Zea mays: one gene and its partner. Each later gene encodes a partner of the first gene's protein in a complex. Links are inferred from orthologs where the notes say so. Each region holds a gene or a part of one and is shown in the gene's direction. Other genes may lie near its edges. The genes, in order: 30S ribosomal protein S6, chloroplastic-like; 30S ribosomal protein S31, chloroplastic-like.

Region 1 (3,678 bases):
ATTGGACTGTAATCGATGGTAGTGGTCGATAACTTTTCTCAACTCTATCAAACTTATGTTGTTGGAGCTTCCATTGAGAAGCTTCACCAAGAGAGTGGATCTAGCCTTTAGATCCCCCATTTTGGTAAATATAAATTTAGTGGATCTAGATCGTTTGACAAAGTTTTTCAAAAATTTAAATTATTTTTAGTGAATCTCAAATAAACTCATACTGTTGTTTCATTTGATATGGCTCCTTTTAGAAGGGCTCTAGCTCCTTATTTTATTGTCAGTAGAGTACCTTCTATGAAGCTGAAGTTTTTGTAAGTAAAAAAATGGGCTATTTAAATTTGTACCCTTAGTTTTGCTTCATTCCTTATTTTTAACCTTGGTCGTGTTTTTTCTTAGTTTTGCCCTACTACTCTATAACACTAGAAGGACAAAACTAAGTAAAAAAACACGACTAAGGGTAAAAATGAGAACACCAGCAAAACTTGGAGCAAAAGCTTAAAAAATCCAAAAATAAAAGCCATATTTCAGCATCGTGTCTCTTTTATAAAAAATGACTTTGACTTTTTGAGCTCTACAAGGAGTTGTTTTCGGCTATTGGCCCCTTTAAGAAGTCGTGAGAAAGTAGAGTCGAAGTCCTGTCAAATTGACCTACAATAGAATGTCTTCAGACCTTCACACAAAGTTTTTCGGTGTTCAAATTCACTAGATCTTTTATCTTGGTCCTGTTTGTTTCGGATTCTAGCAGCTTCTGGCCACCAAAAGCTGCTGCGGATTGCCAAACGCTCAGCTTTTCAGCCAGCTTCTATAAAATTCGTTGGGACAAAAACCATCCAAAATCAATATAAACACATAATCGGTTAAGTCGTTGTAATAGTATGAATTCATCACTTTCTAGATCCTGAGTCCTATGAACAACTTTATTTTCCTCCACACGTAATCGTAATGATACTCAGATTCTCCCCACAGCCAGATTCTCCTTACAGCCAGATTTTCAGAAAAGCTGGTCAGAAAAAAACTGAACCAAACAGGCCCCTTATATCTCGTATACAGAGAAGATTAGGTCTACTCTATATTTAGTCAATTCAACTGTTCGAGATTTTTTTAAAAAAATATAGGTCCGCTGTTGATATTGTATTTTAGCTGCCTAAATCTTTGGACAGCAAACTTAGATAATCAATTAGTATAATTAAAAGAATAATTTATACTTTTTCTATGGGTAAATAAAGGAAAACATACATGCTGCGTATATGACAACAAAAGAATCATACACATAAAACATAGAAGAAATGCATAACTACATATAGTTGAAATACACACAAAGTTAACGTTGTAAACAATTTTGGTTTAACTGGCAACCCGGCCGTTTTTCCACCAATATGAAAATCCGTGCAAACTCCAAACAGGGCGTGGCGTCCTATCCTTATCTATCGAGTGGACGCGACGCCAACAGCGTCAGCGCCTCCTCCCGCTCTCCGGCTCCTGTCCTGCTCGCGCTCGTCGCCCCCCTGCCGCTCGGCTCCCCTTGGCCCCTCCAATGCCGCCACCCATGGCACTGCTGCCGCTCTCCTCCGCATCCGCGTCCGCCGCGCTGCCGCCCTTCCGCTCCTGCCCGCCCGCTGCGATGCTGCTTCGCCTCCCCTCCCCCGCCCCCTCCCATTTCGCCCGCCCCCGCGCGGTCTCCACTGGGTACGCGGCGTCCTTCTACGGCGGCTCGGCGATGTCCGCGGCCGGCGGCGCGGACGAGGAGGAGGAGGTCGGCTACGAGTCGGGGTTCGGCCCGGGGCTAGGGCTGGGCGGCGGCGGCCTCGGGATGTCGGCCGCGGAAGCCGCGCTGGCGCTGGAGGAGCGCGAGATGCCGCCCTGCCCACCCGGCCTCCGCCAGTACGAGACCATGGTCGTGCTCCGCCCCGACATGTCCGAGGAGGAGCGCCTCGCCTTCATCCAGCGCTACGAGGAGGTAATTTGCGTTTGCCTCCGCTCCGTTTGGCTGCCACTATAGCTAACTGGATGGATGGAGCAGCGTAACACGGGCACGGCTCGATCGGCTCACCTCTGCCTCTTGCATATCTCGCTACCATTTGCTGTTCCGATGGCAGAGAGAGCAGACAGATGATAATTTCTGGACAGGCTGGTATCATACTTGAGCAATGCGAGACGAATGTTAAAAGGGTTCCGAGTGTTTCGAATTTCATCCAATAAATATTAGGATTTCTAAACGTATAAAAGTGGATCCGCCATAGTTAATTGCCATCCTATCCTGAATTCACCATGTATGTTAGGCACTGTTTCTGTTAGAAACTCACTCTAGTCTAGAGCTAATCAGTTTGTTCACATTGAAGTCAGATGCTGCGGCGGTAATATATAGAGACAAGAAACCGTTTCGGATTAAAGACAGGTGAACAGCTTGAATATATAGCAGTAGAGGTTTGAACACCCCCTACCTAATAACTCAGCTAATTTGTGAGTTAACAATCAGTCCATTAGCTGGTTTAACCTAGCTAACAATTTGTTAGTTCCAAACGGGCCCTTAATCGCTGTTATCAGTCACATGCCATCTGCGTACCATTCCAATCCAGCTCAGCTTGGTGTTTTCCTGTGCTGCAGCTGCTCGTCGCCGGCGGCGCCATGTACGTGGAGGTCTTCAACCGCGGTGTCATCCCGCTGGCATACAGCATCAGGAAGAGGAACAGCCGCACCGGGCTGCCGTCCACCTACTACGACGGCATCTACCTCCTCATCACCTACTTCACCAAGCCGGAGTCCATGGACGCCCTGCAGCTTAAGCTCAACGCCGACGACGACGTCATCCGCTCCACCAGCTTCAAGGTCCGCCAGCGGAAGGCCGTCTAGTTAGACGGGTTGCCTCCTCCGCCTTCAGGCCCTGAACACTGTTTTGTTCACATACCATACTACAAGAAATCTGCTGTACAAGAATCCACCTTTGCCATGATTGTTGAGTTTTTTTTTTTTGAATATGTTTCTTGTCTTGTGGTTCTCGAAAATGGACGTCCGGCCATCGTTCGCCAGAGAAACACCGCGCCTCCTAAAACCATCATGTTTCATCAGGTACCAAAAATAAAGGTCCGTAGCTAGGTAGCGTCGAGCCTGAGCGCGCTCCGGGGATGGAGAACAGTCCAAACCCATCGTAAATCTGCAACAGTACAAGCATATACAGTGCAATTTGTGGAAGAGATTCGTACAAGTACAACTTTCATTTGATTTCAGAGGCGTTTAAATACTCCACACTTCATTCCCATTTAGCGTCAAGTGCGTTGGTGTTTCCAAATATTCATTTGATGAAAGAGATGTTCTCGGCATATAACTAAACAGTACGACACTAGGACATGACATGATGCAGAACGCAGATTGGCTTTCGGATTTCTCGAGCAGGAACAGGAAACTTCGGAAGATAAGACACAAAGCACAACACAAACCAGAACAGACGCCAGCAATCCAAAATCTGTCAGCCATGGAGTAACATTTAGTATCTCTCATGGCGCCTGAAATCATAAACAAATACCTGGGTCAGTCAACGATGTGAGGCACAAGGGTTTCAAATAAAAAAGTGTGCCTATTATTCAGCAATACCTGCTGCGCTCCCTGGAGCGTGAACGCTCTCTTCTCCTTGAGTCATATCCGCGGGAGCGGTCATAATCCCTATCCCGGTCGCGGTCATGGCGACGGTCC
Region 2 (3,971 bases), on another chromosome or scaffold:
GATCGTCCCCGACAACATGCTGCTGGTCTACTACGACTACCTAGTCTAGCAAGGCTCCTCCCCCCACCCCCCACTCTGAAGCTCTGGAAGAGGAAGGGGGTCTGGGAAGAAGACGCGGCGTACAAGCGACAAGGGTTACCCGCAGCCGACCATCCTCTGCGGATCGAGTTGGCAAAGCGAAGCCGTTGCCGACCAACAGACGATACTCTCGTGGGCATGCCACGCCGTTGCGCTGGCTTTATTGCATGGTGGCGTTGCTCGCTGTAATGGTTGTAAATAAAGAAGGAAAATGTCTCGGGTTTTATATATAATATACTAGCTTGACATTTCTCGTCTGGCGAATTGCCGGACTGTTCAGAATGAAGAAATCAGGGGGCCTCTACTTCTCTGCTCTATATATATCGTCTTCAATTCTCGTGGCCACCTGCACCATTCATAATCGTGAGCGTTGTTGAGGATTCATCCGTTCCTCTCCTTCTAGAGGTTCCAGAAGAAAGAAGACACATGTGGTCAGGTCATGCCATCGAACCGTCTCCACTCCGTGCAAGGCACTTTGCTTGAGGCGTTCTCCCACCACTACATTTTGGCCATCGGTTTTTTATTCATGATTGGGCACTGAAACTGAAACTCTGCTCGGTTGACATGAACCTGATAGCGACCGTTCAATCTGTGCTGTACAGTAGTGCACAGGTGAGTGCCTGACAGTGACCTTGGCAACTCCTCCATTCGGTATTTCGGTTGCTGAAATGAATTGGAATCGCTCCAGCCACACGCTCCCAAATACTACTAACTCCAGCTCCAGGACCGAAAATTGCCTGCACGGGGGTGGGGGACAGCTCGGGGCCGCTCCTTGACGCTCACCCTACCCTCAGGGTTTGTTGATGCACAAGCCATGAGCTCATCCAGTCCGGAAAGCTGGCACCTTGCACGGGTGGTGCCGTGAGGCCGGCCACCATGGGTTCAAGTGTCTGCCTCCACCAGTCCACCGCCGAAATCGAGATTCGAGAAGGACCAGAACCCTAACTCAGCAGGAGAAGCACGGGCCGGAGAACGACGCTGGAGCATCTAGGGTTTTGTTTTCTGTTAGCATGAATCAAAGCTAAGCTTTGGTCATCTTAATTATATTAATTATCAAAAAAAAGAAAGAGAAAGAAAAGGATCCAAGACCTGACCAGACTCGACGACGGCCTGGCTAGGTGTGTGCACCATACTTTACAGTAATGGCCGATAAGGTTACTTCTGGCCCAGCCCACACCAGCCCTGCAGCCCATCTTAGATGTGCGCTGTGGCTCCAACTGCGAGCCCTTTTATCCCTTATCCAACCTGATCCACCACACCACCATTCCCGAGCACACTAGTCTCTCTTCCCTGCGCTTGCTCGCTCCTTCTTGCCCCCATGGCGCTGCTCGCCGTCCAGGGCATGGCCATGTCCACCGCCGCCGCGGCCCTCCCATCTCACAACCACGGCGCCGTCTCATCCTACGTCTCCACCTCCTCCTACGCGCTCGCAGCCTCCGCCGCCTTCCCCCGCGCCCGGGCTGCGTTCGCCGTCGGCGCCGTCTTGTCGGCCACCGTCACTCCAGTTCTTGACGGTAATTAAACAGCTACCTCCTCACTCCCCTTGTTTTTGTCCGATGTAGGAGTAGTTTCTTTCTAACACATGTCACGAGCAATGGCTACTGTTTTCCACGCAATAAGGGAGAAAAGGCAATGACTACTATTACACTGACACTTGGGAAATTCGTTCCAATTCAATCGGGATTTTTCTTCTTTTTATGAAATAGTCAAGGGATTTATTACTGAAATGTACTCCCCAGAAGAGATGGAGGTTGTGATGCTGTTAGTCGATCTGGGTCAACTAGACTGACCAAGGAAAGCATCCAGTTTTTAACAAACTGGTTCATGAAAATTGTGGTGGTTCCAAATATACTAGCTTTTGTCCCAGTCTATAGAAGTTGGATTCTCAGTTTCTTAAAAACCAAGAAGCTAATCCCATCTAGCTAAAGGCAGTTTATAGAAATTGAGGTGGTTCTAAAAACTATTAACCAGTTTTTTTATAAATCACTTTATAGAAACTGAAGTTAGAAACTAGATTCTTAAAAACTAGGTTGCTTCCAAACATGGCCTAAGGGTCTGTTTGGAAGCACCTAGTTTTTTTTATAGAAATTGACGTGGTTCCAAACTAATTTATAGAAATTGGATTCCTAGTTTCTTAAAAAACCAAGAAGCTAGTCTTCTCTAGCTAAAATCAATTTATAAAAATTAAGGTGATTCTAAACACCATTAACCTTTTTTTTTATAAACTAGTTTCTAGAAACTGGATTCTTAAGAGCTTAAGTTGTTCCACACGAAAAAATTACGGTATCGAGGAGCAGGAGCATATATATGAACTGAAAACTACTACTGTAGTAGATTATTAAACCTTTACCGGTTGACTGATTCACTTCACACGGTGTCAGGAGTGAGTGCCAATCAAGGAAGCTGAATCTCTTGTTTATCACTACCGCCTATAGTTTTGGTCGTCTCTGTTGCCACTGGCCTCAGCTGTTGTAAACACTTGTTTCTGGTTTATTAATACAGAGAGTCAAAGATGGATGCTTCTCATGCGTGTACTTCAAAGAAGTTTTAGTTAATCATAATTTGAAATCAATTTCTGAAATTCTAGTGTCCATAGCCTGCTTCAGGATTTTATTCTCTGATTGTACTACGAACCCAACTGGGGTGCTGTCCCTTTTGGCCTCTGTTTATATCAATACTGATGATCCTGTGGACTGACAGACAGTTTTAAACTTTATCTGGTCTTGCTCAGTCTACTGCGGGAGAGGGGACAAGAAAACGAAAAGGGGCAAAAGGTTCAACCATTCATATGGCAATGTGAGTGCTCCAGCACAATTTACATCGCATTTTTGGTTTTTTCCCCCTGTTCTGTTTTATTTAGCTGTCTGATCATGTCTAGGCGAGGCCGCGCAACAAGAAGAAGGGAACTGGGCCTGCGCGGCTCTTTGCCCCTCCTGCTCCTCCAAGGAAGGATCAGTTCGATGATGGGGAGATCATTTCAATCGAGATTGACGAGGACATCCTGGAATAGGTTGTCCGAGTTCTGCCTTGCTTTATATTTGCCCTGAGCTTAATTGGCCTAGTTTGTACCAAATCAAATACTACATATTTTAAGTAATTATTTCCTCGCCTATAATTATCGATGGGTAGGCTGCCACACTTTCATTTGGCTAGTAATGTTCCTACTACTGACTGGGTTCTTTATTTTCCTTTCCAGCTGCTGAGTTCTTTACTCTCTTCAAAATGAAACTGTGTCGAAATAAGTTTTTTTTAGAAGATATTAAATGATTCATCTAGTGGTAACGGAGAGATTACACGTTTCATTTGTAAGGGGATTAATAAGATTTAATCTCTTTCAATCCTCTTCTAACCGAACAATCCAGCCCTAACAGGTAAAACAAAATCCAACTAGCGATTTATTCATACGTCAGCAATGTGCAAAGATCTTGCGTGCTGAACTAATGATCGTGTTGTGTTATTAATATGTGTTGCAATGATGTAAGTTTTGTTTCAAACTTCAGCTAACACTTTCAGGTCTCTTGCTATGCCAATCTCTCACGAGTGTCTCAGCAAAATATGATCCAAACAAGTTGCTGTCTCCAACTCAGCATATATGAATTTTTGCCGACTCCAACTCAGCATATAGAATTGTTTTTGCCGATACATAGCCAGAATTACAGCATAGTTGATAGAACAAAAAAAGGGAGCTGCTCGATTCTCCATCGGCAGGACCAACTTACACGAAATTTAACAGCAAAGAGACTAATTAACATACAAATATAAAGATAACCATCATCCCACATAGGAAGCATGTTTTTTGGATGTCCGAAAATAAGCTCTAACGAGCAAACCACACTCCGCAACCTAGCTCGTAGGCAGGAGTTCCAAAACGGGCACGCAAAGAGAAGCAACTC

Evidence for each region.
Region 2: 30S ribosomal protein S6, chloroplastic-like (region 1) and 30S ribosomal protein S31, chloroplastic-like share a complex: the UniProt entries of both Arabidopsis thaliana proteins name them as parts of the 30S ribosomal subunit. The link is inferred for Zea mays from reciprocal best matches to the Arabidopsis thaliana genes AT1G64510 and PSRP4.

What each region holds. Positions count from the first base shown.
Region 1 is NC_050096.1:303,987,627-303,991,304, forward strand, and holds 30S ribosomal protein S6, chloroplastic-like, read left to right. Parts: upstream 1-1,410; 5' UTR 1,411-1,525; coding exon 1,526-1,948; intron 1,949-2,595; coding exon 2,596-2,841; 3' UTR 2,842-2,965; downstream 2,966-3,678. UniProt on the Arabidopsis thaliana protein: Binds together with bS18 to 16S ribosomal RNA.
Region 2 is NC_050098.1:170,389,784-170,393,754, reverse strand, and holds 30S ribosomal protein S31, chloroplastic-like, read left to right. Parts: upstream 1-1,338; 5' UTR 1,339-1,396; coding exon 1,397-1,592; intron 1,593-2,809; coding exon 2,810-2,874; intron 2,875-2,956; coding exon 2,957-3,088; 3' UTR 3,089-3,301; downstream 3,302-3,971. Other genes in the region: putative RING zinc finger domain superfamily protein, read left to right, coding at 1-49; fructose-bisphosphate aldolase, cytoplasmic isozyme, read right to left, coding at 3,970-3,971.